Drosophila melanogaster: one gene and its partners. The protein of the gene in region 4 interacts with the protein of the main gene of each other region in a pairwise test. Each region holds a gene or a part of one and is shown on either strand. Other genes may lie near its edges. The genes, in order: whe, Cys, CG42495 and Argk1.

Region 1 (7,680 bases), on a different chromosome or scaffold from region 4:
CCCTTGCTCGTCGCAACCTTCTGTCGCGGCCGGTCCCGCCAGACGCCTGTTCCGCTCCTGCAGATGCTCCGTGCAATCGTCCGGCTCACGCCACAGTCCCTGTACCGAGTCAAATGGACGGGCCTGCTCGACAGCGTTGTATCTGCTGTCCTGCGGCTCGTGTTGTCCTGATCGATGTGGGCTGCGCTGCTGGGTGCTATACTCGTTGGGCTGGGAATTATTGTCGTCCGCGGACTCACGGTAGTCAATGGTTGCCTCTTCCAGGCTATCGCCGGGCGAGATGACAACGCGTTAACCAGACGTCTGCTCTGACTGGTCGTGCCGGCACCACGCCTGCTCAGGCGATCGCTTGGTCTACGTTACGAGAACATTAAAACAGTCGACACGGCCTTCACCACAATCCCACCACACACGTGGGTCCTTGCTAGGATTTTGCACTCCTGCTCACACGATAGCGGACTCGCCGGGCTAAAGCCAGGGTCTGGTCTCAATTCGTAGTGTAGCAAGGCGACGCAACTTAGCCCTATTCGGAGACTTTTCGTGCCCCGAACGTCTCGACCTAGCGATCTTGTTCCTTATTAACTCTTAGTGCTACAGCTCCCTTGTTGCGTCGAACATTGACTTTTCAGCGCTCGGCCGGCTTATGTATGCCTCCCTAACCCGCTATTCCTCGATATTTCCAGTCTCCAGAACCAAACTGCACGGTTTTACCGTTATCCAGGTCCAAAGTCCAGCTTGGTACCGTTGCTTTCCTTAAATCGGCACGCCGACGCTCTCAGTTCTCCTGTAGTCCCGCTCTACTTTGTTCCGTCTCACTGTTTCTCTCTCTAACTCTCTTTCTACAGACTCCGTTCCTCCAAACTCTCTTCCTACGGAATCTGTCTCTCCAAACTCTCTTTTGTCCAAATTGTACGTTTCGCACTGTCGTTACTAAACTCTTATTAGTGCGCAACTGGTCGATTTTCGTTGCATTTTGAGTGAAATTAAAATAGCCACACTTAGTTTTTCAGCTTTTTGTTTTCGTCGTTTTTTGTCTGCGATTTTCACATTCTTGTTGTTGCTTCCCGGTGGGCGGATGCTCGGCGTGTGGGCCCTGTAAGGGTTAAGCTGCTAAGCCACTGTGGGCAAAAAGCCGAAAGAAAAACAAAAGAAAAGTTTTATTTGCATTTTTTTGGCATTTCGCTGCCAAAGGAAAGTGAAGCGAAGTCTGCAGGTATGCGATGCGGCAATTCCTGGCCCAGAATCCAAAATCCAGGATCCTTCTGCAGGATGGCTTTCCGGCCCAGGGGAAGGTCCCCGTTCACGTGAAACTTGTTTCATCTTGAAAAGTACAACACAAAAAAATTAAATAAAATAAAATGCGGGGAAAAAACCAAACTCATTTTACACAGATTCCTCGTCGTTTCCACTTTTCAACTTCCTTCAGCCAAGCCACTCAAACCCATTTCTCTACATATAACCAATTGAAATGAATTTGTATCCTGTGGACACACACACACACACACACACAGCCGCACGCATGCAACAACAACAAGGAGAGCAACAAGGACGAAAGAGGCGAAAACTTTGCCGACAAACTTTGACTTTGGTTATTGTTACAGTTTAACTTTGTTGCCTTTGCTATTCATCGTTTTGGTCTTATTTTGGCAGTCACTTTTTTGACAGGATATGCGCTATCTGATTACCCATTCGAAAATTATATTGTACATACATATGTGTTTTTGTTGGATAAAAAGGGGGATATATAAATTTAATTTTTTGAAACCAGTTATCGGTGGTTTTTATACAGTTGCATAATTTATCAGTTGTCACAATTATCATTTCGAAATATCCTTTGATTTGTACCTAATCATTTAAAGCCATTTAACAAATAGTTGTTATCTTAATAGCTTATTATCTAGTTGCCTTGTTAGTTACGTAGCTTTACGCTCTTTGAAAGTAATATTTTATGCTGTTCTTTTTTGCTTTTAATTCATACGTACAATAGGTATTTCCAAGTCGTGTGGGTACTTCCTAACGCCTTCAGCTGCTTCAGCTTATTGTTGGTGTCTTCGCTTTGTTGTACCGCTGTTGCCCTTGTTGCTTTTGTTTCGCCCGATGTTGCTGGTGTCGCCAAACGCAGACGTCGCCGTCTTCTGCCTTCCAAAAAGTGGGGTGGCAGCTGGAGGGGGCGTGCCAAAGGGAAACTTTTCAAATAAAATGATTTCTTATTTAGGCAACCGATTTGAGACACGCCCCCACACCCACACCCAGGCCCATTTCCATTTCCATTCCTCGGGCAGGAGCAACGCAACCATTACTCGGAGTTCGAAATGGAAATCGGTGCAGTTAATGGAATCGGTGGACGGTTTTATATATTGAAATAAGCAGAATATATATCTTTATTTAAAGATTTTTGAATGTTTTTACATGAAGGACTCGGCGATCGAGTTTCTAGGCGGACGCCTCACTGGAGGACTCGCTGGAGCTCTCCTGGGAGGAAGAGTCTTCGGAGGAGGATGAGTTGCCACCTTGGGGAGGTCCTTGTGGGAGTCCCTGGGGAGGTCCCTGAGGTATTCCCTGCGGCGGCTGGAGTCCTCCAGAGCCCTGAAGTGGTCCCAGACCTCCCTGCGGAAGTCCTGGAGGACGACGTCCTTGGACAGCAGCCAGAGCCACCATGGCGAGCACAACGATGAGGAAGATTACACGCATTTTGATTTTGTAGATGATTGACTTAGCAAATTCAATTGACTTCACCAACTGCACCCGAGCCCTATATATACCTCGGAGATCTCTACGGAATCGGATCTATTGCAGGTGTTTTGCAATTCTATGTTTTCGATGGACAAACAGAAGCATTGTGCAAACAGCGATGACCCAAGTGAAGTTGTGTAAACCCTTCATAATGGAAATACTTGGCCAACTGGTGATCTTAAAATATTAAACAAACTAACCTCGTGGTTGTGAAACTTTAGATTCATTATATTTATACTTACTTCCTAAAGCTATTCCGGGTGATCTAATGAATAAAATGTAGATTTATTGGAACAGCTTTAGGTTTTTTCGTTTCTTTTTTATTTTAGCAAAGTATCTAACTATAAGATTTCTGTTTCATAGATTTTTCTTTTCCGTAAATATGCATTTTGATTTAGCTTAAAGCTTTTCTCGGCACACCCAAGATGGGGAAATATAAAAATGGCAATGAAATAAAGTCGGGCAAAACAATTGAGCTGAAACCTTAAGCTCTTTGCTGGGATTTGGCCAAAAAAAGTGGAAAGTACTTGCACTTGTCTCGCCCCCACAAATCCCACACTCCGCGCATTTCTAAGATCCTGGAGCATTTGCCACTTGGATGATACACCTAACTTATAAAAATTTCTGCACATGATTCCGCTTTATTGCTTTATGACCGTGTGTGAGTTCTACTTGGAAATTCATATCTCTGGTACTAAACAAATGTTTCAACATTGAGCTTCGGCTTCTTGCTTTCCGGTTTTTTGCAACACGAGCCTATTTTCAGGACCTTGCATTAAATTTCGTTATTTCGTGCTCTTTTTTTTAGCCAGCATACATTTTTTTATTTATCGTAGTTGAGAGCTAACTTTAACCCTGTTTTTCTTAGTGTTCGTTCTTATGAATATTTCAAAGTACTGCCAGGCTCAAACTTTGACATTCAGACTGAAATTTGCCTTTATCCCGCGGAGAAGTGCACGCACCAACTCTCGAATATCCACATATAGTATCCTTGCAGCGAGTGTATAGCTTACCCTAAGTGTTAACACTTTCACTCGCAGGATTTCTTTTCGCTTATTTTCCTGTCTCGCAATTGCCGGCATGTAGTGTTGCTTATGAATCTATTTACAACAGCAACAAAAGGACCTTTTCTGTAGTCGTAATAACCTTTGATGATCTGTTTCAACGGCGCGTGCTGTGAATTGTCAATAAAAAGGCAATTTCGACGCTCTAAAACCAGCTCGGTGGACTGGATATTCCACTTCAGCACCGCACTTTCCACTTTTCCTATGTGGCTGCCGTTATGTGGTAGCTTTATGGAGAGCATGGGTGTACGACAGGGACTCGCAGGATGCGATACAAAGCTCTAGATGTCTGGATTCATTTCTGAGTTCAATCGGAGGGAACAGGATAATCGTTATAACCTCAAGAATTGGCGGTCGCTTCAATTATGGCTTGATTGATATATGGCTCTTCAGATATAAATTACATTTTCTGTACCATCAGTTCATCTAAACTTAATTTCTTATTCGTGTGCTAAAAAATTTAATGAGAGCTTAAAGGATACGGATATAGATATTAGCTGATTTTTCACATGCCAGCTATTAGCTAGTAGTTATCTATACCAAGTAGCAGTCCACAGGACTGCTGCCAAGGACGATTAGAAAGATTTCCCAACGGGTTCTGATTATTGGGGTAATTGGCCGCCCGGACGTTCCCTTGATTTGCGGTCAGCTGTCGTTGCCATCGGTCACATTTTGATTAACCCGAACGCAAATCCACTCACACCCTCAGATAAACACTCACCGGAATGCTGATGAGGCATTTAGTGTCTGGTGTCGAAGTCCGGTTCGCATGGTCATGGGATCGCCTGCCCCACCTCCGCATCTTCATTCGCATCATCCGCATCCTCGTTCGTTCGCATCCGCATCCATATCCATCCGGAACGTACTGCTAATGCGCCAAACGGGGTCTAATAGGCCTGATTCGATTGCACAATCGGTCAGTCCGCAGGCCAAGCTCCAATTTCGAGTTTCCACTCCCGAAACTGGTGAATCTGGCGAAACTACAAAAGCTCCCAAACGCCCATTTCCAACCTCAAACCATCAGTGAGCTCGGTTGAGTGAACTGGGGCCAGAAATGTTATTATGCAAAATAATAACAACGCATCGCACTATGAAATTAAATTTTGAATCCCAGCAGTGAGTAAACTTAAAATACAAGTTATTGCAACACCACAAACCGTTTCACATGTGTGGATCCCAGCATGCGAGTTGCCTCATGACTGCATTCGACTCTGACTACGACTACGACTTCGACTCGAGTCCTACGGATGCAGATGGTCTTGAGGATGTGAGTCCGGATGTAAAAGCGGATGCGGATGCGAATGCGAATGCGGATCTGTTCCGTGCTGCCTGCTCATTTCATGCCATTGAAAGACCATCGATGGCAGGGCATCCACAGTATTCGGTCAAGTAATACAATAGTAGTTCCTATTTAATAACCAAGAAACTAGTATGATACCGTTCCAACTGTGTGTCTTATCATGTGCTATATGATTACAGATTAACAATTTAGGGATATATATATATATATTTATATATATGTATATTTAAATGCAGAAATATTTTATCCATTCTGCCTTGAATGCCAAGCAGATCTCAAACTATTGTAGTAAAAACGTAACGAAAGCAGCTATTAGTGGTTTACAGTCAAGATGATAGTAACGACTGAAGATTACCTGTATTGAGCACACTTCGAGCTCTTCCTTATTTTCCCCTTTATTTAACATACAACCGAATGGCAGGTATACTCGAATCGATTGGATAAGCGTATTCCCGATTCGTGTTGATGGTATCTGGGAACCGCCTCTGTTTTCCCGCAGCAGTTTTCTGGCTCTTTTCATTCCGTTTTTTGGGGCCGTGGATCGGGGATTCCCCTCGCTGTTGCATTTGCCGTTCTTGGCTCGTTTTCGTTTTCGTGGGAGTTGGAAGACAAATTGATTTCATGTCTGAAACTTCTTAAGCGCCTGCACCGGGGGAATCCTTGGCGTCCGCCCCCCCCATTACCTCCACACCTCCTTCTGGTTTCCGTCTGTGTCTGCGGCCATCCGTGTTGTGTTTGTGTTTTCAAATTTGATATTGCACACATGAAGCGCAGCCAGAGCAACCTACTGAACCACCGGCTGGATTCGCTGCTTTTTTGGGGGCTCCTTCTCTCGTAGCAACTCGTACGTACGTACCTACCTACATAATACTTTCTGTCGGTCCTTTTGAAGTTGGTGTGTGCTGAATTTGTCTAGAAATTGATGCGCATGCCGTCGAAACAATATAGCGAGACAAGAGGGCAAAGGCAACATGTTGCAAAGGCTTGCCAGCCCGGTCCCCGATCCCCCCTTCCCCCTCTCCCCCTTTCCCCTTCCCTCACCACCGGCCACCGATGCACCAGGCCCCTTTCTCAACCGCCCCTCCAATTTTGGTTGCATGCTTTTGGCGAATATTTTGCGGCACGTCGCTGCGGCTTCGCCTCCGCTGTCATAGACATGAGCAATAGACAGATACATACAATCGAGCACATGTGCACTCGTGCCAAAAGTACACTGATCGAAAATCAATGGAACTGGGAGGAAGTTCTTCGGGTATTGTTTCTCCAGCATTTCCAGCATTGGCTAAGAGTGCTAGAGTGCTATCTTTCCATACATACTTCTAAGTCGTAAAATATTGCGATTGATCGAGTACAATTTAGGAAATGTTTTTTAAATGTGAAGGTATTGCTCTTTTCTGAACAGGACTTAAAGGCCAGATTTACATAGCACTTAAAACTGTCCACTGGATGGACCCATTTTCGAAAGTGCACTTATGTATATATCTGCGTGTGTTGCCGTATAAGTATATGGCTAAATATTTGCAATTTCGTGTTCGGTATTCCCCCAAGTGTGGCCATAAATTGGACCCTCTTTAATACGAGGTGCAAGCGATTCCGCCCCTCAATCCTCTTGTTTTCTCACATTTCCCCTGCCCTTGCTATCGATTCGTTATCCTTTATTTTTCTGTTGGCTTTCCTAATCAGTTTGGTGGTGGTCGTCCGGGGAGCTGACCCAAAGAAAGCAACCAAGGGATTCAAGTCAAGTGGAACAAAGTGGATAAGATGGGATCGGGTTCGGGGAAGGAATCTGTAATGCATGTTGGCGGCTCATTCAGTCGAAAAGGATTGGGTTATGATCTATCGAGGTTTCGGGCCATCCCGTGGGAATTTTCAATATAACTTATAAGTTTGGATATTAACTAGCTTAAGAATAGAGTAACTGGAAATATATATTTCATTTGAGAATGGTGGAGAGCAACCTCTGTTGCTCTCGTAAACATTCGGTGATTAAATAAGCGAAAGTAGCTTGTGATTAATAGTAACTTATTTATGGTTTCACCAAGCACCTTTAATCACCATCCAACCGGAAAGGCTTGTCTGCAATATAAAAATTAATTATACCATTGTTTACGGCTTAAGTAAATCCCCTTAATTGATATTCCTTTTCAGTGGTTAAACGGTTCAACAACTTTCTCTATCATTCTCTCGGGGTAGACACACGAGCTCATAAACTACTTTTCGCTGGCGAACGCAGTACAAGTGGAAGTTGCAGTCGCAAGAATGAAAGCAAATTCCACACAATATTTGAAGTATCAATAACTTGAACGTTTTTAGTTATAACAACAGTTTATCCATACTAAGTACGATGCTGTGTGACTCCCAGAGCATTCCACATTCTCCAAAGGCCCTCATCAGTTTTGTTCTCCTCCATTGACTGCGAAACTATGAAATGCCAGTCAAAAAAAAAAAAAAAAAAAAAAAAATTGAAACAAAATAAGAAAAGAAAACAGCAAGAGTTAGGATGAACTAGACGTGGCAAAGGTGGAGGGGGTGGGAAAAGTTTGCACTGCAACTTTTTTGTTTTCCACACGCTTTCGAAGCACT
Region 2 (7,489 bases), on a different chromosome or scaffold from region 4:
AGGCAATACCAGCTATGAGGACGACCACTCTACTTTTGAGCCTTGGCCTTCTGGTCCTGTGCTTTTCCAGCTACAGTTTTGCCGAAGACGATCCCACCGATGGAAGCACAACGCCTACTGATGGAAGCACCACGCCCACTGATGGAAGCACCACGCCCACTGATGGAAGCACGACGCCCACTGATGGAAGCAACACGCCCACTGATGGAAGCACGACGCCCACTGATGGAAGCACCACGCCCACTGATGGAAGCACCACGCCCACTGATGGAAGCACCACGCCCACTGATGGAAGCACCTCCCCATCGACCTCTCCTTCAACAGGCGATAACACTAGTCCTTCAACAGGATCGCCAGATAGCACCCCCGATTCCGGAAGCGGCAGCAGCAACAACAGCGGCAACAACAAGCGGAACAACCGTCGGAGGCGCCGCCAGCGGGCTCAACGCGCTCGACGTCGCCGGGCTCAGCAGGCTCGGCGCAGGAGGAACCGTCGCAATAACAGGAATAACAGGCTAAGCAGAACCAATAGCATTTAATTTTGTGCCTACAAAATAAATGTATAAATAAATTGCATATCCTAAAGAAAGTTCGCAAGTATCGCCAAAAGATCGGTTAAGACGTCTTGGGTTTGGTTTTTGCCTTCTAGCTAGTTATTCACACAGACGTGATAACATTTTGTTTTAAATATAAAGAAAAACTGGTTACTGCACAATCCGCACAAATTAATTATCACAGTTCATGATATAAGCACAATCATTTCTGGGAGTCACCGGAGTAGGCAAGCTTCGAAAAATTATTGTCCCATTTCTCAAGCACCAGAGATTGCACCTTTATTGTATTGCAAATTGTATGGTTAAACACAGCAATGACGCCCTACCAGGTCTTCTCGAGCACATCTTCATCCTTGCACTGGACCTTCACATTGGTGGCCTCCCCCTGCTCATGCAGCCATGGCCTGTCCCAGATCTTTACGTTGCACTCCTTGGTCTCGGCTCCGTTGGACAGCTTCACCTCGAATTTGTAGAGCGACCCAGCCACCAGTTGGCTAGATGCCGAGATCACATTCACTACCCTGAAACGAGCATGAACACTATTTTAAAATCTCTCATTCTTTTGTTATTTCTAATCAAAAATAAATCACGTCATGCTTTAATTATATTGATAAGATTACACTTGTTCTGTTGCCGTTTATCATCGAAATTTTTCCAAAATTAATTACCTTATACTTACTGATAATTGGGACCATCTCCTGTGGCAAGTTTGGCGAGCGTTGTGTCCAAGAGCTCCTTAGCCTTGGATAAGTCATCTCCATCCAGCGGCTTCGGGGCACCGGGCGGCAACCTCGGCTTTTGTTTTGACAAGTCAGGCAAATATCAAATAATAACAATATCAGCTCGAACTCACGTTAGCAAAGGCAACCGCCAGGGTCACAGACAGAACAAAGATCACTTTCACGGACTGCATTTCCCTCGAAACACTTGTTCCAAACTGAGCAAACACGGCGCATAGAAGACCGCTTTTATAGAGGAAACCGAGATCATCGGATTGCTCGCCGAGAATATATTGTATGTATATTTATTTATTCGCGATCAACGCCAACCGGCCCCCAAAGAAGGAGAGGCGCCAAGTAGTGTGCACTCAAACCTGAAACCGCTTGTTTTGAATCTTTTTTTTTACTTAATCTTCAGTTTATTGGTTAATATTTTACTTTGGTTTTGCACAGGCCTGTCGTTTTGTGATATCATTTTAATTGTTTGCCCAGGTCAGGAGCATTAACATTGTATGGACTAATCATTCTGTGTGAGTACACCTTTATTTGAGTCAGTCGTTAGCAAATGTTTAAAGTTTTCATTTCTACTTTTCGAGAGATAATGATTATTCAATGAAGGTTGATAAGAATGAATATATGACTTTAGGGGGTGGAGTTTACTGACGCTTTTAGTTTAGTTACCAGTTGCCAGTTGTGTTTCTGATAAATTACTAATGTCTATTGTTTTCGAAAGGTCTTCTGATTATTTAAAAAAAACAAGCTTATTATCAGCAAGAAAGGGGGAATTATTATTTGTAACATCCACTGACACCGCTGATGACGCCCACGCTGACTAATTAAACACACACAATAGTTGAGAGAAAAGATAATACGATTCACCTATTGAGATATATATATTGAGATATAAACAAACTGGTTATGCCAACAGAACTGGTTAACCAACATCGGAACAGTTTTATAACCTACTTCACCGGCTTGTACCTGAAACCCAAGAGAACCTTTTCCATCGGATCATGTTTTAATGTAACCAAATGTACACAAATCCTCCCAGATAGTAAAGGTAAGGCTCTCTTCTGTACGCTACCTGAGGTCGCAAGAATATGGTTCCCCCCTAAGGGTATCTATAATTAAGTCCAGTATATAACATATGTATAACATTTAAGATAAGAGTTAAACTGTATGTAGGTCTAAGGTAAAACCTTCTACCAGGTGTGGTCCAGTTCGTCCTCACCCGGGAACTTGATCTTGATGTTGGTGCCGTTCTCCTTTAGCCATGCGCGACTCCAGATCTGCACAGTGCCCTGTTTTATCTCGGATCCATTGTCCAGCTGCACCTCGTAGGTGTTGAGTCTTCCAGCTACGACCTGACCCGTCACAGAGGTTACATTAAGTGCCCTTCAATTGGAGTAAAATCAATTAATAAGTGGCAAGCTCTAGACCGAGTTTAGCCTTAACTCACTTGTAGCTGGGTCCATCTCCGTTGGCCAACTGTGCGAGGGTGGCATCGAGGAGTTCCAGAGCCTCCTTCCTCTCATTCCCCTCCAGCTGACTGATCCCGCCTACAATTGGAACGTTGGACATGGCGGCGATAGTAGCAAAACTCAACAAAACCAAAACCAAAACATGAAATGATATCACTCTGTTCCGTTCCGATTGTGAGTCAGCTTCTGGAGCTTTTGTTGGAGTGAAAGCTTCTATGGTTGTTATCTCAATAAATATATAGTATCTTATATATGTATATGTATAGTATGTGTGTAATTGCCTAGCGATGGGAATTGGTTAGCACGGAACGTAAACAAAGCAAATCAAGTATTTATACACTCCTATTATTTTTCCCAACAATATATTGGATACTTTGCAACAATAGTTCCCCGAAAATTAATCAAAAATCATTTTTTAAATCACGTGTATCTTGTTTTTTTTTTTATTATTATTTCTTTCAGGGCAATTCTCACGAAGAATCTTCTACCAGGTGCGGTCCAGTTCGCCATCGTCACCAGAGCACTTGATCTTGATGTTGGTGCCGTTCTCCTTGAGCCATGGCTGAGTCCAGATCTTCACGGTGCACTGCTTTTTGTCGGATCCATTGTCAAGTTCCACCTCGTAGGTGTTAAGACTTCCAGCTACGACCTGACCCGTCACAGAGGTCACATTGATTGCCCTAAGATCAGCAGATCAATTAGTATGAATTTTAAATTCGGAACTCAGTTCTAACTCACTTGTAGCTGGGACCATCTCCGGTGGCCAACTGTGCGAGAGTGGCATCCAGAAGTTCCAGAGCCTCCTTCCTGCTGTTTCCCTCCAACTGGCTGACACCGCCTACCACCTGCTCATCGGCTGCTTGGGTGGCAATCAAGCTGACGAGAACCAGACCCAAAATACACAAAGATTTTACTACGTTCATGTTGCTCGCTCGACGACTCTGAGAGAACTGATGAACACCCGGCGATGTGGCCCATTTTATACCTGCCATCTCAGTGGGAGATCAACAATGGAAAAATACAATAGGCTCTCTATGCCATCGATCCAAGACTTGACTGGCCCATCATCAGAACTATCAATAACCAGAACCTCACTCGGGGTTTACAATATTTAAGAAAATTGCTTAGAAAGGCAAAATAAGTGAAAAAATAGTTTTAAGATTCGAAATATTTTTTTTTAGAACATAAACTACGGTATCTACGTGTCCTGATATTTTCGCAGCTACTATCCAAATATTTATAGTCAATATTCAAATATTTATAGTCAATATTCAAAGGTGCGCCCCCTTTAAATAAGAATCTATTTCCATGATTAATAAATATGCATATGCAAATGAAATCGTTTACTTATATTCTAATACGGCTCATTGGCGGTAATTAATTGATTTATCAGATGGGCGAAAGCCGCTTTTCTGTGAGAATCGTTTTGATCTCTACTTCAGTTAGCAGTTGCGGCTTTAATTGAAAATCTGTGCAAATGAGCCGAAAACAAGTCACCGTACACCACATATGAAAACATATAATCATGGCTTCAAATTACACACAGACTTCCGGTATGCTCTTATCAGTGTTTCTATGAGTATGTACTACAAAGGTCAGTCGATATGTATTAAGACCCACATGTGCAAGTTTATAAACATTTAACCAATTATAAAAAGTATATTACATGCCACTATCGCAGTTTCCAAGAAAATTTAAGATTTCTAGGAGAGATTTCAAACATCAGAAAAGGTTACATGAGCCCATCTTATCAATCAGATTCAATCTATACGTGATAGCAAAATTTAAGGTAATGAAAAACCATTTAATGATGTATTTATTCCAGCATACCAATTCTTCAAAACAAAAGCTGAGGTACAAACTTAAAAGCCTTACGAACTATTCTCTCTATAATAGGTTTAGGTTCCATATTTTAAATAACGCATAAATCAACGATATTTTTCGATGCACGATACCTTGAGGTAATTTACTCCGATTTTGTTTGTATATAAGGATAAGATGTTTCAAAAATACAAGGCTCCGGGCGAGTGGTTTAGGTAGCTTCCATTTAAATGTGAATGTGCACATGTTCCAGCAGCTGGGTGCGATCATAAAAGATGGCCGAGCACATTTCGCACTCGAAACTGCGAGTTTTCCGCTCCGATTTACCAGCTGCCGCCGCTTTAGCAGCCGCATCCGCGGCGTCAGCTGCGGAAACGACCTCCGAGATGGAAAAGAATCCGCTGCCCACATCGCCGTTGTTGGCACTGGCAGGTACGTTTACATTGTAGGAATCCACCCCGTACGAGAGGTACGAGGATGAGCTGCTGCTGCTCACCTTGGTGGCAGTGTTCGATTTTTTGGCCACCACTCCCGGGGATGCCGACGTCTTGCTGGCTACGCCACCTGTTGTTCTCTTGCTGCCTGCCCGTGCACCATTGGCAGTGATTTGTCGCAGATGTCTGGAAGTTCTAGCAGATGAAGAGGACGAAGGAGTGCTGCCGCTATGAGCGATGACTCTTTGCTGACCCTCCAACATTTCCCGCAGATCCGGAGAAGTTGGTTCAATTTTTATAAGGTTTTGCTCCTCTTCGTGCAAATATTGTGGCGTGGTGGATGACTCGCTGGTAAAGCGAAGACGAGAATTTCTCTCGTGCTTCAGTGGAGAGCGGAGGATCTCCTCCAGATCATTAACAATGCTCGGATTAAACTTCTCATAAGTCTTCTCCCTGAGCAGAGCAGCATCTATCAGTAGGTTATCATCGTACATAAGTTGAACACGCTGTTGTTGTTCCTGCTCCTGTTTGATGTGCAAGGGACTGGAGCTGATCTGATTTGGCGGATGAGTAGCTGGAGAAATGATTTCATAGTCATCCACCATATTTGAGGCACTGCTGCGGGATTTGTCGAGGCTCAGATTGTGCGACTCCGTGCGACTTATATAGGTCTTCGAGCGCGTTTTCTTTGCCGAACTACTAGTGGAGTCTCCGCCAACTCCTTTTGTCACCTTGGCTTTCTCTGTGTGAATCATTCGAGGTCGCGAATTACTGGCAGGAGGTGCTTTGCTGGCTGTTTTAGTGGTTGCTGCCCTCTTGCGGCTCCGAGTGCTGGCAGTGGAGGTGGAGGCGGAGAATGTAGTGTCAGATGTGGTAGCTGAGCTATTCAAATTTTCGGCTCCTTCTACAGACTTCGCCTGAACTTTTCCCTGCTGCTTCGATCCACCTCTTGTGTTGGGTATGTTAGCAGACACAGCGGAGCTAGCAGGCTGCAAATGAGTGTCGTTGACCACTACCAGCGAATCGATCTGAAACAGAGCCACTTGACTGTCGTGCAGGAACTTTTCCTCCCAAAGGCGATCCGATTGCTGACTGCTGGTGGAATCATATCTTGGCTTAGCTTTGCCCTTATCTTGGGCAGGTTTTGCCGCTTTCCCATTGGTCACGGGTTTGGCATCAGCTTTTGTGGCTGCCGAGCCCCTCTTTCGCTTTTCTTTTTTGGGTGATTCGGCCATGTCGAAGATATCGTCCACGTTCTCCACATCAAAGTCGCAGAAATCGATGTCACTGGCACACTCCTCTGCATCGCCTTCTCCTATGGCCTCTTCCTCATCACCGTTGACATGCTTGTTCGCCGCCCGCATGTGAGCGATCTCGTGAGGCTGTAGCTTACGGCGACGCTTGTACTTGCGCGGTCCCGTCTAAAAAACAATTCAATTCTTTTAATTTATCAAGTCTCTCGAAACAAAGGATTTTACTTACAACGGGCTGTCGCTGCTTAGCTGTGTTTGAATCACTGTGTTGGATCAGGTGCTGAATAAGGTCATTGGACGATGCCAGGTCTTCGGAACAGACTGTGCAGTGATAGGTGTTCCGCGCTACATCCAGCCCAGAATGATGGGAGCGAATGTGTTCCCGCAGCACTACCCGTTGGTTAAAGGCGCGTGGGCAGACGGAGCAGGCATATGGCTTCTCGCCGGTGTGGATTCTCTCGTGCTTCCGCAGAGTACCACCATCCGCGAAAGCCTTCCAGCAGTAGCGGCAGCCATATGGCCGCTCACCGGTGTGGATCCGTACGTGAATCTGCTGGGAACTGCGCGAACCAAATGTCTTGCCGCATTCGAGGCACGGAAAAAGCTTGCCAGGCGTAGTAGTGCTGTGCGAGTGTCGATGGTTGGAGAGCGTACGACCGTCGGGGAATTCTTCCTGGCACACCTCGCATACAACCGACTTGTCCCGATGCGAAGCCATGTGCCGCTTTAGACGCGCTTTGTTGTGGAAGTTCTTTCCGCACTTGGAGCACGAATGGCACTTCTCGCGCGAATGGTCCCAGGCGTGCTTTATCAGAGCCTTGCGATCGCGGCACTCTTTGCCGCACAGAACGCAGGAATTGGCATTCAATTCACTGGGATGGCGAGTGTGCAGGTGACGCTTAATCGCCTGCTCCTCGTAAAAGCTAATGCCGCATAGGACGCACCTGAAGTTATTCAAAATGAGCCTTTAAAATGCGGTTTTCTGCTCGTGATCAAGTTCATTTGACCGAACTTACTTGAAGGGCGGGAACCTAGCATGGATTTCTGCATGGGCGAGCATCTCTAAAGCGCTAGGAAAGGACTTTCCGCAAGTGTTGCAACAGTGACCAGAAGAATCTTTGGCAAGCTCCACGTCTCCGCCAGCAGTGACATCGGAATTGCTACCAACAGCTGCCTGATCCGATGGCTTACAGTGCATCTTGGCATGACGTCGCAGTAGATCCTGGC
Region 3 (7,911 bases), 9.6 Mb from region 4:
AAAACCTTGGACTTCATCGAGGGCGAGATGGCTCAACGGGGCGTGACCCAGGAGCTCATCGACGAGACGCGCTCCTCCACGGAGCGGATTATGCTGCGCGACCTAATGGAGTTGGCGCGCACAGGAGGAGATTTGGAGGAGCCGGACTACCAGTGTGCAACGCCGGTAAGTGGCGTCTTCTTTGAGGAACAAAACGTAGGAATTTTGATCCCAGAAAGAAGCAAATAAAACTTAATTCAAAGAATAATTCCTACACAAAAAAGAATCCACAATTCATTAAATCCTCACTTATTCCCTGTGTGCAACATTTAACTTATCTCAATTGTTCAGCTTCACATAGCTGCTGCGAATGGATACGTCCGCGTTGTGGAGTTTTTGTTGGAGCAGCATGTCAACGTGGATGCCATGGACAAGGATCTGTGGACACCGGTGCATGCCGCCGCTTGTTGGGGTCATGTAAGTGAAGCCTCGAAGCCGAAAAATGGGAATAATAATTTTAAATATTTCCTTCTTTCAGCTTGAGGTGCTGGAGATGCTGGCCCAGTGTGGTGCTGATCTGAATGTTCGCAACAAGGACGACGAGACTCCTTCAGGTGAGAATATGCGAAAAGGTTGCGGCACTGAATCAACGGTTATCCGGCTAGAGCAAAATAACCATGAATATGAAATTGAGCTATAAATTGTTGTTAATGCGACACGGAAAATGTGTAAATCTAGACTATTTGTAGTAGGAGTAGGAGGAAAGCGCTCTCAGGTGTGAAGAAAGATTGCATTAATTTTTTAGCTTGGCAGGATCAACGATTTATAATGGCTAACTCGAAAAAGTGTTACCCATTTCCGTAAAGTTCCTCCTAGCTCAGTATTTCAAATAAACACATATAGTACATACGTTCATTTAGATGTTAGTTGCCATAAACATAAGAATACACTTAAACGTTTTAACTGGATATTAACAAATCAATCCATCCGCCTTTGTAGACATCTGTGAAGATCCCGAAATCAGGGAGCGAATCGAACAGCTGAAGACGGAGCAGGAGAGCAAACGACTGGCCGAGGCGCAGCGACGACGCGTTCGACGCTCACAGAGCAACAACACAAGGCATTTACATAACATTTATGAGCCATTAAACATAACCATTAAAACTAACTATGCTTTCCACAGAGCCCAATCAGTGCGACGCACTAGTTTGCGAGACAAAACGCTGACAACCAAAAAGGATGCCGTCGAGGAGACCCGGCTGCGTCTGCAGGCGCAGGAGGCGACGGACTCGGAGGCTCCCTCATCGGCAGGGGATCCGCTGACCAATGGCTATGGTTACGGAAACAACAACGGAGAGAAGCGACCCTCGACGGGCAGTTCGAATGGCCAACCACTGCCGCACTCCAAGTCCGCCGATGCGCTGGATAATGCCACCGCCGCTTTGTCGGCCAACGCCACACATTCCTATCCGTCGCGCCGTCCACCGGATGGCCGGGAAAACGATGAACTGCTACGCCTGAAAGCTGCAGGTGCTGCGGGAGAGATGCAGCGAGCCACCTCGGCGGCGGCCGTCATTCTCACCGAGAAGGGTACGGCGGCCAGTGCCGAGGCCGTTCAAATCCAGTCGTCGAAGGAGGCTGCCAACGGCAAGATCAATGTCCAGGTCACCGTCCTCGTGGGTGAGTCAAGCGCCCTTGGCCACGTGTCAGGCTTGCTTCCGCTTTCTCCTTTCAACCAAAGCCAACCATTTACTCAAGCACCCCATCCAGACGCCACCTCCAACCATCCTGTTTGGCTCCCAAGGAGCGTCAACGTATCACAAGAGTTCTGCTTAAGCGCCATTCTGTCCCCGTGTCAATGTCAATGTTTAATGTTTATTTAACGACTCTACTAAAATGGAAATGAAAATACTTCCAACAAGCAAGCAGAGCTAACAGCATGAGTAGACTATAGAATGACGAATGCCCTGTAGGAAATGATAATCGATATCTTGGTTTGAGATTTTTAATAGGATAGCTTCGTGAGATGCATAGCTTAGTTGAGATATATTTTATGGAAATGACAGTCATTGTTGTAGTAAGATACTTTTTATTTCATTATGTTGTAAATATGCTTTGTAAATGACTTCTTTATTTAAATGCCTAAAGTGGAATAGCGTAAGCATATATTACTATTTATGTAAATTATTGCCATTTTAATAGCTTACTACACTAAATGGGTTTTCTGATACTAGAAATCGTACTTAGAAAACAGGGGAGCATGGCTGCAATAAGCATTAGCATTTGACTCGCATGTAACCTCCATCCCATCTACCCGATCACTCCCAATTGGTCAATGGGTATCTGCTAACTTAGTTCTCGGGAAAAGAAGAGAAGAAAAGTAAAATAACATTTGCTTGTTTCCGTTTCATTCTTTTTTGTTGTCGTTGTTGTGCCTCGTTTCGCCCGTTCTGTGTCGTCTGCCTGCCCGCATCATCATCAACAATAAAAACAACAACCACCGCACCACTAAACACCAAACACACCCAACGCCTTGCCAAAAACTTCCAACATCCAGACACCAATAGCACGCACCACCATCAGCAACATCAACAGCAGCAGCAGCAGCAGCAGCAACACCACCACCAGCAACACGTACTGCTGTTGCAGCAACACCAGCAGCTTCAGCAACATCAGCAGCAACAGCAACAGCAGCAGCAGCAGCAGCATGTTGCCTTGGATGGCTACAGCGCCACATTGGCCAATTTGAAGAAGCAACGCTCGCTTTCACGCACCGCCAATGTCCTCAATACTTTCGAATTGTCATCCCAAACAGCTAGCAATGCCCATCCAATTGCAGCAGCTAATGCCACAACAACTAATGGTTCTGTTTTAGGAGCCGGCGGCAGCAGCAGCAACAACAACAACAACCTGAGCACCAGCAACAACAACAACAACGGATCCGCACCGATCTCGACGCAGCCAACATTGGGTCACATGGGCGCGGGAAGCGTGCTATCCGACTTCGAGGGCTCCTCGCCGGCGGGCAGTTCGCTGAACAAGTTCAGCGGCATCACTGGCGACGTGGTCACCGATAGCACCAGTTCCAGTCGCAGGTGTTGCGTCCTGATGTAGAAACTTAGCGAACTACTAGAGTCACAGGGTATTAGAGCAGCCAGAATTGTCAGAGGGATAGGCCATTTGTTAAATGGCAAGAAAAAAGTGTCTTTTTATTAGATTAGCCGTATTCAGTGAGTGAATTGTTGAATGTTGATTACACAAATGCATGTTGGTTTTGAGAACGGGGTTCGATTCTGTGAGCTCCTAGATAACGGCTGAAAGTCGTTGCATTTTCCTAGCAGACACAACAACACACTAAAGACACACACAACCAATTATACGAAACAAATTTATACAAATATACAACCATATGTATACATTTTAAAGAATATTAAAAGAATTACGTATAAAATAATTGTGAGCAGTTTACCTTAGGCGATATATAACAACTAACTAAATCAAAATGAAAAAACATCAAAAAATATTTATATAGCAATGCTAAGTAAGAACCTAACTTAATAGATTTGCTTGGAGTGCATTAGGAATATCTGTGTTTCCGTGTGTGAGTGTTACAACCGAAACAGGCGAAGTATTATGCAACAAGTAAATATTTAACTAAATATATAGTACGATAGCAAAATTGTAGTTAAACCGTGACAGCAAAGTAAAGCAAAGCAATGAGACGAAATGCATAGCACTCAAGCAATTTCCACATATAAGTGTCTAAATGTTTGAATTGAAGGAATGTTAATAATGCCAGGCGGCATAGAGATTTATTTTTTAATGCAACTACTTTGCTCTGCGTTATGTAAGTTGAGTTTTGTTGAGAGGTACAAGAATATATGTATTATTTATGTAGCAGCGGTCTTTGTATATAAACCTACACAATTCCAAAAGATGCAAAAACAACGCGCAATTAGCAAATGAGACTTTTTCGATGAATGTCAAGGCATTAGCTGAACGTTTTGTAAAATAAACAAATGAAATACGAAAAAATTACACACAAATTTGATTTGATTTTGCGCCAGTTAGTTTTTTATATTCCTGTGCTTATATTTCTTATGAAGAATGAAGTTGAAGTAAATATCTACTCTTTTAAATCTCGCGCCAAGGTGCTCCACCTGGCGGGATTTTAATGAACCGCAAGCTTGTCATATGGAAGTAAGTTGGCAGCTTTGCGCATCAGCTGTTGCCTCGTTCGACTTTTGTTTACATTTTTATTGGTTTAAACTTATAAGTTTAAAGATCTAACCTAATGGAATCACTCGCAAAATATCGATACAGTTTGGTGGCTGGCTCCTTCGCAGCTGCAGGAAGCTTTTTCGGAAAACTTCCCAGCCACCTGAGCGCCCAAAAACTACTGAATACTTCGCAAATAAATGAAGACTTTTCTTATTTAGGCAAGATTGTGATTTCTTCAAACAAGCAAAATGTTTATAAATTTATAAAATTTTATTTTATTTATTAGAAATAGCATTACTTCAGCTGCTGCCACTAGTGTTAATGGTAACATGCAACGTTTGCAACTTGCGTTTCTTTTTGAAGGCCCTGCAAATGACTGAACAAACTTTAACGTGCGTCGTTTTAACTGCCGCTTCGAATTATGTCTTATCGGTAGGTGATCCACCGATCTATTTGTTCAATTATGATTACTGTTCGTTATATAGTTTGTCCTAGGTGCGCTTGTTTATCGGGAGCCACTGACAGTACTATCTGGCATCGGAATAACTCTCATTCTGGCTGGTCTTTGGTTTCTTTGCGACGGAGGAACAGTCGAGTCCGAAAAGCAGGACAAAATGGAATAGTAGGAATGGGATTTGCTTAAGATTAGCTTCTTTTATACACATTTTTCATTTGCCATATAACTTTCTGAAGCAGGGATAAAAATAGTTAAAGAAACTTAATTTTCCATTTGTAACTTTAAAATATAAAAATGTTGGGAACCCCAATTAGTCCAAAAAAACGAATGGTTTATATACTTTTGTTTAATGTATGTACTGTTTTGCAAATACATAGTTTTCATTTCATTTATAATGCACTGTTAGTGTGCACGCTTCTTCATTCACGCGGCAATAATTACAACTATTATGTTTTACGTGGTTTTGTATTTTTGTTTTCATCGTTTGTGTGTAAAAGTTTGGCAGAACAAAAAAAGGTGTTGAAATGGGATAGAGCATGACAGTAAGAGCACAAACTATAAATATATTTATCCCTTCGTTTATATATATAGGTAATAGTAATTAATTTTTATAATTCAGAATCGTTATTTAATTGCTAAGACGTATAAATACTTTTTATATTCTTTCTCTCGACATCTGTAATCATCAATCAGCTTCAACGCAGCCAAACAGACAAAAAGTAAAATCAAGCAAGAAATGGCAGATCCAAGTTACATACAAGTTTTGCCCATCTGTCGTTTGTTTTCCTTGGACGAAGTAGTGTTGTGTCCTGTCCTATCCTGTCTGGGAGTTTTAGAAACCCTTGGAGCGCTTACTTTCCTGTATTTAGTTGTAATTCTTTCGTGTTTCTAACAACTATTTTGTTTTATTATTAATACATTATCGAATAAACCAAAATCAAGGGAAATAGGTATAAATCGTATTGAAAAATGCGCACGAATTGATTTGTGTGTCGGCTTCATTTTCGATTCCCTAGTTGCGTTATAAAGGATTCTTTTTGATAGATTTCCATTTCTTATGGTTGAGAGTGGTTTGCGTAACAATAATTGTACGTCTACGTGGCCATTACTTGCATGTTGATGATTGGTTTCCTTGTTTTCTGTATGGAGGTTGTGTTTATGGTTTGCATGAATTGTATGTGTGTTTTGTTTGCGGGGTTAATACGTATTGTATGCTCAGTTTTTGTTCTCCAGCCCGAGTGGCATGCGTTGCGACTGGTTCTGACGGTTTATGTAGCCACCACCACCACCTCCCTGGTTGCCCGCTCCGCCACGACCACGATCGCCCATGGGCCTGCCGCCGCCATACGAGCCATTTACATTACGCTGCTGGTTGCCACCGCGCTGGCCTCGATAGCTTCCACCGCCGCCGCCGGAGGATTCGTAGCGCGACTCCTTGTTGTAGGTGCCACCGCCACCTCCTCCGTTCTGGTAGTAGTTGTTGCCTCCACCATTGCCCGACTCATTGTTGCGGAAGTACACACCGCTCGAATTGCCCGAATTGCGTCCGTTCGTGTTAGATGAGTTGCCGTATTGACGCGACCGGTAGTTGCCCCTGTCGCCGCCGTTGCGCCGCTCGTCACCTCGCCCTCCCTGATCGCGATCCCGGTTATCCCTGTCTCCGCCACGACGCTGATAATTGCCAGAGTTGCGGCGTCCGTCTCCTTGCGAGTTGTTCCAATGGTTGTTACTCTCGTTGTTATCGGCATAACCGCTATTGCCTCCGCCAGTGCTGTGGTCCCTGGGCGTGGCCCACTCCTGCTTGTGGCTGGTGTTGCTGCTGCCATTGGAGGCGGCGCTACTCATGGCATTCATCTCCGAGCTCCACTTGGTTGGCGGTGCCGGTGGCGTGGCCTGGGTGGTCTCGCCTTTGAGCACATTCGTCAGTGCTGCTGTGGCGGCAGCATTTGTATCATTATTACGGGCATGCCATTCATTGTTCTCGACATCTCCACCAGCACCGACACTCGAGGAGCTGTTCACAGATGACGGCTCATCCAGCTGCTGTAGATTTTGCTGCTGCTGCTGCTGTTGTTGTTGCTGCTGTTTCAGCTGCTGCTGGATCTGCTGTTCATAGGAAACAACAGCATTTTCGTATGAGAACCCTGAGGTCACATCGCCCGCCTGCATGCCAATGCCCTGAGGAGCAGGCTGCTGCGGTTGTTGGGTTGGCAGACGCGGCATAATCAGCATTGGTTGCGGCTGCTGCTGTGGTGGCTGTTGACGTTGCTCGTGGATCAGCACCGGCGAGAAAAGCTGCTGCTGCTGCTGCGGACCCTGTTGCTGGGGCTGGGGCTGCTGCGATGGGAACGATTGGTTGGTGAAGGTCAGCGTCAGTATGGCCTGCGTTGGTTCTTCGACATGGTTGGGCTGTTGCGGCTGCTGCTCAAATACCAATCCCTGATTGGTCGGAGGCGGCGGTGCTAAAGCCTCAGGATTGTCCAGTTCACTGTCCTGCAGAAAATGGAAGCGTCCTGTGCCCAAGACCTCCGCCAAGGGGCGCGAATGCTGCATAAACTGCTGCTGCTGGGGCGTTTGTGGTGCCTGTATTCCAGGACCTTGAGGATGCTGCGGTGGCTGCTTGAAATAGTTTTGCTCCACGGCCCTCACATTTGGAGCAAAGTGGGTTGGGTGTGGTTGCTGCTGTTGTGCTGGTGGAGCAGCTGTTCCTGTTTGCAAGGCCTGGAGATTCACGGGGCTGCTTAACAGCTGGTGAGGATGCGGCGGCGGCTGCTGGGGCTGCTGCTGGGCTGGTGGCGCTGGAGCGTATAGAACATGCACTGGCGTGGTGGTTCCTCCGGCCTGAGGAGCTGCCTGGTAGACCTGGGTCGACACCTGCTGCACCATCGAGTTCTGCTGATGTTCCAGGGATGGAGCTCTCTGGTGCTGCGGCTCCAGAAGATGGCTCGGACGCTCCTGCTGTTGCTGGTACGATTGATGCTGGTCCAGTTCTGCTTGCACGCCCAAATGCAACTTGTCTAGTCCCTCCTCCAAAGAGTTTCGAGCCGATGGCTCAGATGGCAGTTCCGCGTCCAGTTCCCCCGAGCCATCGTTCAACAAGTCACCGCTTTCTCCATCGCCACTTCCAGTTCCACTATCCGTGCTGTTGGCTACCGCGTTCTCGGCCAGTGGAACAAGGTAATACTTGTCCAGGTACCCACTATCCTGGATCTGCTGGAAGAGAGATCGCAACTTCTCGAAGGACACTTCTCCGA
Region 4 (9,794 bases):
GGACTCTATGATAATACAATTTGATATCAGTATTATAATATTTATACCAATTACCATTACTATTTCGATTGAGTAAGTGTAACGTAATGCTTAAATATTTCTGACTAATCACATGATTATAAGATATAAGATCTTTGATCTATAGTTATATCCGCCACTGTTTGTGTATCTTTTCCAGAGATTAAATTGTATTGAGCCAGAGGTTTACATGTGCGGAGTCTACGATGAGCTAATACCCGCTTGATTCTCCAGATGCGATGGCTTACGATTTTTATCCGAACATCTGACTAATCGGAAAATCTTGCATAATATTCCCGACTGCATATGTGTATGAATGGGGTGGGGGCAATGTTTATAGAAACTTTTAGTCATTGACTGATTGCTGCCCATTTGTTGGCCAGCGATCGAGAATGGGGCGCTAATATGTTCGGCGGCTGCAAAAACGAAAGCCAAAAAATGAGTAAACCATTTGAAATATGTGTTATTAATTAGATCAATTTGCGACCAGCCAAGCACGAGTCAAACTTAATGCCTGTTACCCGCTAGCCGGGCAATTAGCTGTGAAATTACTGCTTGAATTTAGAATTTAGAGGAGGAACTAGCATCTAGCAGTAGCTAATTATCCGTGGATTGCAACAGATCATGTGTAGATATAGAATAAAAACGCATATATGCTAAAAGCTCTGCTAGCGTTGTCAGCTTTTCAACTGTGTTTTCGACTCTTTGTTTGCTAAACAATATTTTGGCACAACATCAAAAGCGACGCTTGCCAAAAGCAATTTTTTGCACAGACGCGAGCCAAGTGCTTAAAATATATATCCGTACATATGTATAGTAGGCATATATATATATATGGGGATCAAACAAGACACCTAAATGAAGACCTCTGTCCATCAGAACGAGTGGTCATTATGAAGGAAGCCCCTAAGGCCGTTCAGATAGATTTGAGGCATGACGCCCGTCTAAAATGGGATCCCTTCGCTGCAGGAGGCAAATATGCCCGCTGCTGCCGGGCTAATTTGCTGAACATGAACAATGAATCCGTAAGGAAATGTGTGTACATTGTGGCGGCACAGCAGCCACATTCTGCTGCGTTTCCAAATATAAATAAACTTTGCATGGGGGAGATCATGTGACCTGACAACAGCGACGCGACAGGTCTCATAATGGCCCGGCACTGCCACATCATCACCAATGCCCATTCCATTTCCATTTCACTTGGGCAGGCTGCCAAAAACCAATGAACCTGCCTACCTCGCTGGTCGGGCAGAGATCCTTGAACACCTGGGCAAGGACAAGTGTCCAGTCCAGGGCTTGCGTGCGCCAAGGTTTGTCTCCGATTAATATTAATGGCAAATCAATGGTGCACAATTAGAGAAAGTGGTGAGCAAACACATGGCAAAGTTCGGGTTCATAAATAAACCGTAGACTGCACATGCAGCACCAGCACAAGATCCCAAAGACTCGACGCCATGTGAGCCGAGCTGTCCGCCCAAGCGGACAAAAATAACAGCAAATTGTGGTCTCCACCCATAGCCATCATCATCATCATCATCATCGCCATCATCATGGTGATCCAACGAATTTGCTGATGCTGCAGCACCGTTGTCGCCAAGCGGTTGAGTTTCTGCCGCATGGCAACTATTTTCGCCGAGAAGTCACCAGAGTGCATTGAACCCACTTCTCGCCATGGGAGATGAGGAAAAATGAAATTTAAAAATACATATTTTTCGGAAATAAATGAAGAATGTTGTAACAAAGTGCCCGAAATAAGGAGATACCAGCTAATAGAATCTATCGGTTAGCAAAGGCAACCAAGGGTTTTCTAAAGTAAAGACTTAAATAAACAAAACATAAAACGAAAGGATTTAAAGCTTACCGCTCGCCCAACTGTTGAGCCTCCTTAATCGACTGGATGAAGGCATTGGTCTCGCCCTTGATGAAGTCATTGCTGGCCTCCTTGGCCGCTGGAAGCACCTTCTCGGCCTGCTGGCCACCGAACACCAGTTCATCCACATTACCGCCATTGGCGGCATTGCCATTTTGGCCATTGGTATTGGCCTCTGTCAAGGATTTTGGCAGTGGGATCGGCATCTTGTCGGCTTGTTTTGGCGGACTGCTGGGCTTGGCTGGGGGAGGAGTTGGTTTTGGCGGGGCAACTACGGGTGATGGCACAGGTTCCGGTTTGGGCTTTGGAGCAGGTTCTTCCTTCGGTGGAGCGGGAGCTGTCGCAGGAACTGGAACCGGAGTGGGTTTGGCTACCGCTGGCGCTGGTTTTGGGGGATCTGGTTTAGGAGCAGGTGGTACTACAGCGGGCTTTGGAGTTGGAGCAGGTGCAGGAGCTGGTGCTGATTCCTTGGCGGGAGCTGGATTCGCTGGCTTGTTGTCGAGCGCAGGCGCTGCTGGCTTGTTAGAACTAAATAACCAAGCTAAACGTTTGCTACAAATGAAAAGGGGAAATGGCAACAAAACAAAAAATGAATAAATAAAATATCAAATTAGGGAATCTATAAAACTAAAGTGCACTGCAAATAAAATATCAAATGAAAAATGGATAAATTGATAAGAGAATGAGAAATGTGTAAGGTATGATGCTTTTTTCACTGTTTGCATTTGATAATTTATATTTTTAGTCACTAACATTTTAACATGCGCTTGTATGCAATGTCTACTGTAGCATCTTTTTTCCACTACGATTTACAGAAAGTTCCAGAATAAATGCGGCGAAGCGTGAAACAAGGAAATGCGCGCTTAGCGCTAATATTCCATGATTACATTACCCACCTTTAACTATAGGCACCGCCTACCGTTGAAAATCAATAAATAACAATTGCTTTTATAGAAAATAAGACTTTTTAGACGAAGAATAAAATTAATTTGCGATCTACGCGTCCTAATTCGCCAAATGACAAGAGTAAAATGGACAATGTAAAGTTACAAGCAGTGTGACCACTCCTTAGTGCATTGAAAACTTTGACAGCCCTTGTAAATCATTGGTGTATCCCTATACTCCATAACATTTCGATAAATATTTGAAAACAAATATAGTCGCAAATAACGATTTTTCAATATGCAGTAATTGCAGTAAATCATATGCATTTTAATATAATTAAAAGTAAATGAAGCCTTTTAGTAGTTCGTAGAGTCACACTGGAAGGATCTAAGGCAGCCCTGGTTTTTGAAATTGATTTAAATTTGAAAAGTATGAAAATACTGCACTTTCTAGCTTTTGTTATAGAGTTAATCATAGTTCTTTTATAATGCCCTATAGATAAGAAAACAAAATAGAGCCAGTTATTTATTGTACTTTGCCAAAAGGCGTTAGCCTATTGGTGGGCGTGTTGCTTAGACGCAAATGTTTCAGTGCTTTAATGCCCACAAATGGCAGTAATTTAGAACTGTAACCACAATTTCTTATTTCCCACCCATTTCCCCAGTTACGAAATTACTTTCTCCACTCCCCCATTTCTTTGGGCCGGCGTCGTCATTTCTCTTGTCACGTAGGCCAAAACGGCAATAGCTGACGAAAAACTCGTGCGGCAAATTGATAAGCAAACAAACGAGCTCCACCCGGCATAAAATCGGCAAATCGGCAAAATACCGGCCCCAAATGCCGGCTGTATGGATGAGAACGAAAAAAACTAATACCGCTCCAAACTTCAATTATCACTTTTGTTATTACGCTAATTGCCGGCAGATAACAACTGGACGCTTTTTTCTTTATTTTTTTGCCAAAAAAATGCGAATTTTGTTTTGCACATGTGCAAATCAGAGAATGTTTGAATGTGTGCGATCAGCCGATTGCACTTATCACGAATGAGAGTTAGAGCCACAAAAGCCGGTTGTTATGGGCTGGGGTATTCGACGAGATCGGGGGAGTGGGAGATGGGAAAACGGACAGATAGTTCATCATGTGACACCGCTCGGTGACTAACTTTCTTGCCAAATGCAGGAAAATTATACACACAGTCGCATTAGCACCTTCGAACCATAACGATCACGGAAACGTAGAGCTAAATTGGTCTAATTCAACAACTGATAGCGATAAGATTATCGGGTTTGCAATGATTGCGTCCCAAAAGTGCGACTACTGTTATCGCCAAGATTTATGAAATGCAAGAAAGTAGCTTTGCTTGGTGAAGGTGTTGTTATTAGCATTGCATAACCATTAAAAGCCAGTAAATTTATTTGTATTACCCAATCCCCCAAAGCTCGAATCACATACCAGAAACTTTTCATTTAAAACGTACTTAGACCTTTTTCTGAATTGCAGAATATTTTTAAGCTTAACTCCAAAAAGGATCTCATTACGCCCCCAAACTACAATTCACCATTAACACTACCCAGCCGAAAAGTAGGCAACACAAAACGTTCATCCGCCCTGTGGGGGGCACAGCAGTGCTTGCCAAACTGTGGAAAACCCCTTTTGCACTTACCGTATTTCATCGACAGCAAAAGTTAAATACCACAAAGCGAACATTTTGTATTAGCTGAAATTGAGAGAAGATCGAATGAGTAAATAGTTAAGTGATTTTCAAAGCAATTTGACCGCTAATGTATACGAATTAATTGGACTATAAATGGCAATTTCCACACCACATGCACTTGTTGGACTGGCACTGAATCTGATTCACCCAGCGACCTCGAAAAGCGCAACAAATGACGTCGCCGTCAAGCAATGCAAAAAAAAAAAACTCAATCGAGCGAGGCGCTCATCAGAAAAGTAAGTTCCAGAGAGCCAGAGCTCAATTAAGACCCAAGGCACACAGATAAAAAAACAGTTGAACAGGCGAAAAGACAGCAGTGAATATATGCCGGCATTATTCAAGGTTTATTTATAAACAAAAGCGCGCATGGGTTTGCAAATGCAAAATGCAGAATGCCAAATTCGCAGAACGCTGAGCGCCGAGGCACGTGAAGTCGAGACTTTTGGGCAAACGGCCAGAGATGGGAAACAGTACACAGAAAAAACCTCATAAATGGGAAAATGAAAATGTTTTGTCATAAATTTGATTTCTGAATTTCTGAATTTCTTATTTAAACTCCTCCCCAATTGAAGCCTACTAACGCCAACATTATTAAAGTTTGCCTCAATTAAAAAGTTATAAATGAAAGTTTCTTTATATGAAATATTTGAGGCACCTGCCTAGTATTTGGTTTGCAAAGTTTATTTTTAAGATATGTCATAACATTTAATATGTATTCTCACAAGCAAACAAATTGCAAATTTTCCTCTGTGCACTGCAGATCAATTCGGAAAAAGGGGAACTTTTTGTGCACCGGATGGCGCCCAATGGTCGAAAGGGTTCTAAATTTAGATAGTGCTGCCATCGATCAATTAAATATGATTATTTTGCGCACTGTTTGCAGTCCCCTGAGCTTTGTTTATCCCTCGGATTTGAGCAAAGGCAAGCAAAATTCACCATGAAGCTCCGTCTGCGTTTGTTTTCTTTTGCACACGCGGCGTATGAGCAATCTGCGATGGTAATAGCACACTCAGACTCTGACAGTTACGTCACATCGCACGGCAAACGTATGAGTGGGTGGCTGGGGCGTGGAAAATGGGTGGGTGGTGGTGCCTAAGAACACTCATTCCCATAACACTCATTCACTGTTGCAGCATGCCACACATAACAAACAACTGGGGACTTGCAGCATGACCCCTTCTGCGTGCACTCACCTTTTGTGCCTGTGTTGGATAATAAAACGACTAGAAAAAGTTGCAAGTGCTTTTCCGGAGGGTTTTCCGTTCGATTTTTTCGTATATCAAAAGGTTCGTTTCGTTTAAATGCTTCACAGCTGGTCAAATATCGAGGACTGGTCTCGATTGTGTGTTGTTTGATTTTGAGTAAAGGTACAAAATTAATTTTCTCTCGACTGGCACTCTTCTGCTGTTGAATGCTTCTTTCAAGTTTTTTTCGACTGTCGTGCTCCGTGCGAAAATCGACTGCTCTACTGGCGGCAAAAGCGACGAGACTACGGCTACGACGGCATCCAACTGAGAGAGCCCCAAAGAGAATGGGGAGCACGGAGAGCGCCGACGCCAATGTTTCCTAGCTGTGGCTGCACTTGCGACGAAGCTTTTCTCACGAGATTCGTTTCCCAACGAACCCACGGGTTCTGTGCCAGGTACACCCGAAAAAAACTTAGAAGACTTTAATCAGATTCCAACAGAGAGGGTTCAGAGTTAACTACTATAAAGGATATACATATTTATTAGAGGACACTAGCAAATAATTAAATGTAGATATTTCAATGTAGTAATAACTAATAGTAAATCTATGAATTTTCTGTAACTAATTAATTATTTTTCTCTGTGCACGATTTCAATATTTATTTCCGTGTACTCTCCGATTCGGAATGTTACTCATAGGCTTACGCTATGCCACCGCTATGTGTCAATAATCGCGTTGAACCTGGTCAAAAGGCTGCCTAATCAATAAAAGAAAAGAATTTTCGGAAACAGTTTTTGGGCACTGGACGAGTCACTTTTCCAATTGGCACTATCAGTTCAATGTTTACTATTTATTTTGCTTACTGCAGCGTTTGGCCCAGGCCAAAACTATCAAATTTGGTCGAAAAAGCGCTGCTGACGCCTTTCGCCGGTTGTCTGTCGTGGGCAAATAAATCCAGATAATAAACTCGAGCGTACTGTTCAGTCATTCATTCAACAGCGCTATCTATTTTGCAAAGCCCACTTAATTGGCCTGGGTGATGATGATTGGGGTCTTATCGCTCGCCGAAGACTCTGCAGTTTGAGAGCCACTGCAACGGCAAAGATGCAATGGCAAGCGCACAGAGTCCGTGAATCCCGTGGACCAGGTTGCATAATGATACGTACAGCTGCTTACATAACCGCGGCAGCGAGAAAGGCGACCAGAAACAAGGTCAAAAGTTCAAGGACTGAGAAAAGCTCGAAAACATCCTGGAGCGCTTGCGTTGCTCAGCGGAAGTTCCTGCGAGTGTGGGTGTTCTGTTTTTGTTGACAAAAAGTTTTTATTATCACGAATTATGTACTTTTAATCGGCTACCTTCGGCCTACAGCACTAAATATTGTATAACACAACCCATGAAGTATGCAACGAAAATAAAGATTAAAGCACTTGAAAAGGATAACTTTCGAGCCCCTTCCGTAAATAATTAGGAGCACAATTTTGATTTAAGTTTCAAACATTTTTTATTGGTTTTTCAATTGAATGCATTTTGTTTGCTACGCTTTAATTGGTTTATATATCTTGGTTGTCTTACATTGTAATGATATTGCATATGCCACACAAACTGCTGTTGGCCTCGGTTGATTAAGCTTTAAAATCTTGCACAAAACATAATCATTGCAAATCAAATGGAAATTGACTTTGAATAAAACGCTTGCTTTCATATATTTTAAGCTATGTGCATTTTGTATGTGTATTATTTTACTACATATCGATATATAATTTAACATTTGAATCATTCTCATCTTCACTTTTCATCCTGACTGGAATATCAATCTAATTCCGCACGCTGTTGATTCACTCAAACACTTCGGTTCAAAACTTTGGTTCCCCCGCGTTCGTCCTTCGTTAACCCGCTAAGCTAGCTACTACTGGATCTGATCCGATCTCCTATAGTTCATTTTGAATTCTTCTCGTTGGCCATTTCATTTCAGATGGTCCGGTCGGTACTTATACTGGTTCTTAGTTCCGGAAAGGTTGTTAACATACTTTTGTTGGTCGCACACGTTTCGAATTGGCTTGTCTGTTGTTTTTGTAGTTTAATGTGTTGGTGTTATCTTTGTGTGTTGTCGGTTGTCGTTTGCCCTTTTTGTTGGATCTTGTTGTATCACAGCTTTCTTCACTTTTGCTCTTATAACTTTTAAGCATAACTTGCATATACATATATATAAACATTGCTGTTAATGCACGGCTGTCATACATATCGTCTTTCGGATTTTCTACCCTCCTCGCCCATGTCACACTTGTTGTTCCCCTGAATGTCGACATCGAGCATACCCTACATACATACATATATTAACACCCTGACTTGTTGTTATTCTCGATCAACAATTATCTTAAACTTGGTTGGTCTTTTTTCCTCCTTCTGTAGTGTTGCTACTGGATCAGTACATACGTTAGCATAAATCGCATTGGTTTGTTGTGGTTGTGGAATGGTTTACAAAATTCTTTTCGCTCTCATCGAATTTAAATACAATAAATGGCATATAAAATATATTTGTTTTGTAGTAAGTATACCAAAAGAACGTTACTCATATACAGCAGCGTTGGAAGTGACACTAGTATAACAGAAAAACTTAATACTTGTTTCATTTACGTTGATTGTAATTGAATGAATCCATTGATTGACAATTAGTTCGGGCTGGATATTGAGCTAACGATCTTTTACAGTCCTAGCTCTATTTTATAGCTTTATGACACATTATTTTGGCTAATAGCACTTTCCTTTAACTTTTTACAAATCGAACTCCTCGATAAACAATATTAGGAGTTTACTCTTTTTCTTATTAATTTAATAACGCGCTGTGAGTACTTTTTGAAGGCAACTTCGAATTCAATTGTAGCTATTCAATTAGGCGGTTAATTTGGAAAATAATACTATAGAAACTGGTGTATCAGGGAGCTATAAAATAGAGCCCATATAACCTATATCCCCCATTAATCTGGCCCTGTCTTTCCAATGCTTACTACCGTTCTCATTGCTTCAATAGTGCAGTATCTTAGGTCTTATTTTGCACATTATGTTGTTCGTGGAAGCAGCATGACACTTTTATCACATTTGTTGTTGGTGTTGGTTGTTGTGTTTGGTACGTACTAGACTTAAATTAAATGCACAGCCACATACAAACAGGTCTGGTTACATAATGTAGGCCGTCGATTTGCAATCTCTTTATGACCCAAGACTCTGTTCTTGATTTGACTTTTCTGTGGCCGTGTTGCGGTTGCTGTTTGACAAACATTCTTAGTTTGCTTCGCGCTTTACACATGAATTGAACTCGTTTTACAAAAAATAATATTTGCTATTGCAGTTCATAAAAAATGATTACATGCATTGGTTACATATAGATACATTCATACATACAAATATAGATGGTCGATTGGATAGTTGTAGGAGTTATCTGTGAGATCGCATTTTGTTTGCGGTTGTTACTTGTCCCAGAAACCAATTGCCATCCTCCGTTTTGCTCTGACAACAAGGTCAACACCATCTTTATCGTTCAGTCTTCTGTTTCAATAGATTTTGTGTTTGTTTAGATTGTTACATTTGAGCAAGTACTTTGCGGTTGTTGTTCGGTTGTTCTCTAAATGCTCGGCATGATCTTCAGGTACCATTTTTGTTGTTGTTGCTGTTGATGTTGTCATTGTTGCTGTTGTACTTGTTGGTCGGCAAGCATGTCTGCGGAGGATGAGCCGCGGCTCGTAACAACACGCTGCTGTTTTGTGCAAACATAGGTTAAATATAGTACATAGTTGTATAATTAATGCCTGTGCTACAAAATACTTAAGAGTTGGATTTGGGTCTTATAATTGCCTGGCTTTTTGGCCCGTTTATCTGGCCACAACGCATGCACCACACGCACGACAGCTATTTCCTTAGCTCCATTTGGCTATTACATACAATACATATATATCTGTGTGGTGTTTTGTATTTGCTTACATTTTGCTTTGCTGTTGCTGGTAATATCACTTTAAACTACACAAATGGCGGCGCTTAGCGAACGAGGATCTAGCTCTCGTTGTTGTTACATTTGCTTATGTTGTTGTTTGTTGGTTTATCACAATTGAGCGCCAGATTCTGTA

Evidence for each region.
Region 1: the proteins of Argk1 (region 4) and whe interact in a two-hybrid assay, tested with the Drosophila melanogaster proteins (one large-scale study listed by BioGRID).
Region 2: the proteins of Argk1 (region 4) and Cys interact in a two-hybrid assay, tested with the Drosophila melanogaster proteins (one large-scale study listed by BioGRID).
Region 3: the proteins of Argk1 (region 4) and CG42495 interact in a two-hybrid assay, tested with the Drosophila melanogaster proteins (one large-scale study listed by BioGRID).

What each region holds. Positions count from the first base shown.
Region 1 is NC_004354.4:21,400,027-21,407,706, forward strand, and holds whe (what else), read right to left. Parts: upstream 2,747-7,680; 5' UTR 2,692-2,746; coding exon 2,434-2,691; 3' UTR 2,313-2,433; downstream 1-2,312.
Region 2 is NT_033777.3:14,565,932-14,573,420, forward strand, and holds Cys (Cystatin-like), read right to left. Parts: upstream 3,714-7,489; 5' UTR 3,678-3,713; coding exon 3,493-3,677; exon of another isoform or gene 3,435-3,492; coding exon 3,239-3,434; 3' UTR 3,172-3,238; downstream 1-3,171. Other genes in the region: CG14852 (uncharacterized protein), read left to right, coding at 15-539; CG31313 (uncharacterized protein), read right to left, coding at 877-1,075, 1,234-1,349, 1,408-1,467; CG8066 (uncharacterized protein), read right to left, coding at 2,476-2,668, 2,733-2,854; CG7987 (uncharacterized protein), read right to left, coding at 4,802-6,430, 6,492-7,206, 7,279-7,489.
Region 3 is NT_037436.4:18,663,162-18,671,072, forward strand, and holds CG42495 (uncharacterized protein), read left to right. Parts: upstream 1-4,199; 5' UTR 4,200-4,273; coding exon 4,274-4,418; intron 4,419-4,486; coding exon 4,487-4,632; intron 4,633-4,685; coding exon 4,686-4,823; 3' UTR 4,824-4,974; downstream 4,975-7,911. Other genes in the region: MYPT-75D (myosin phosphatase targeting subunit 75D), read left to right, coding at 1-165, 331-456, 518-593, 979-1,099, 1,163-1,659, 2,537-3,093; Capr (caprin), read right to left, coding at 5,873-7,911.
Region 4 is NT_037436.4:9,060,028-9,069,821, forward strand, and holds the start of Argk1 (arginine kinase 1), read right to left. Parts: upstream 6,001-9,794; 5' UTR 5,681-6,000; intron 4,491-5,680; 5' UTR 4,481-4,490; coding exon 4,437-4,480; intron 2,922-4,436; exon of another isoform or gene 2,785-2,921; intron 2,441-2,784; coding exon 1,880-2,440; intron 1-1,879.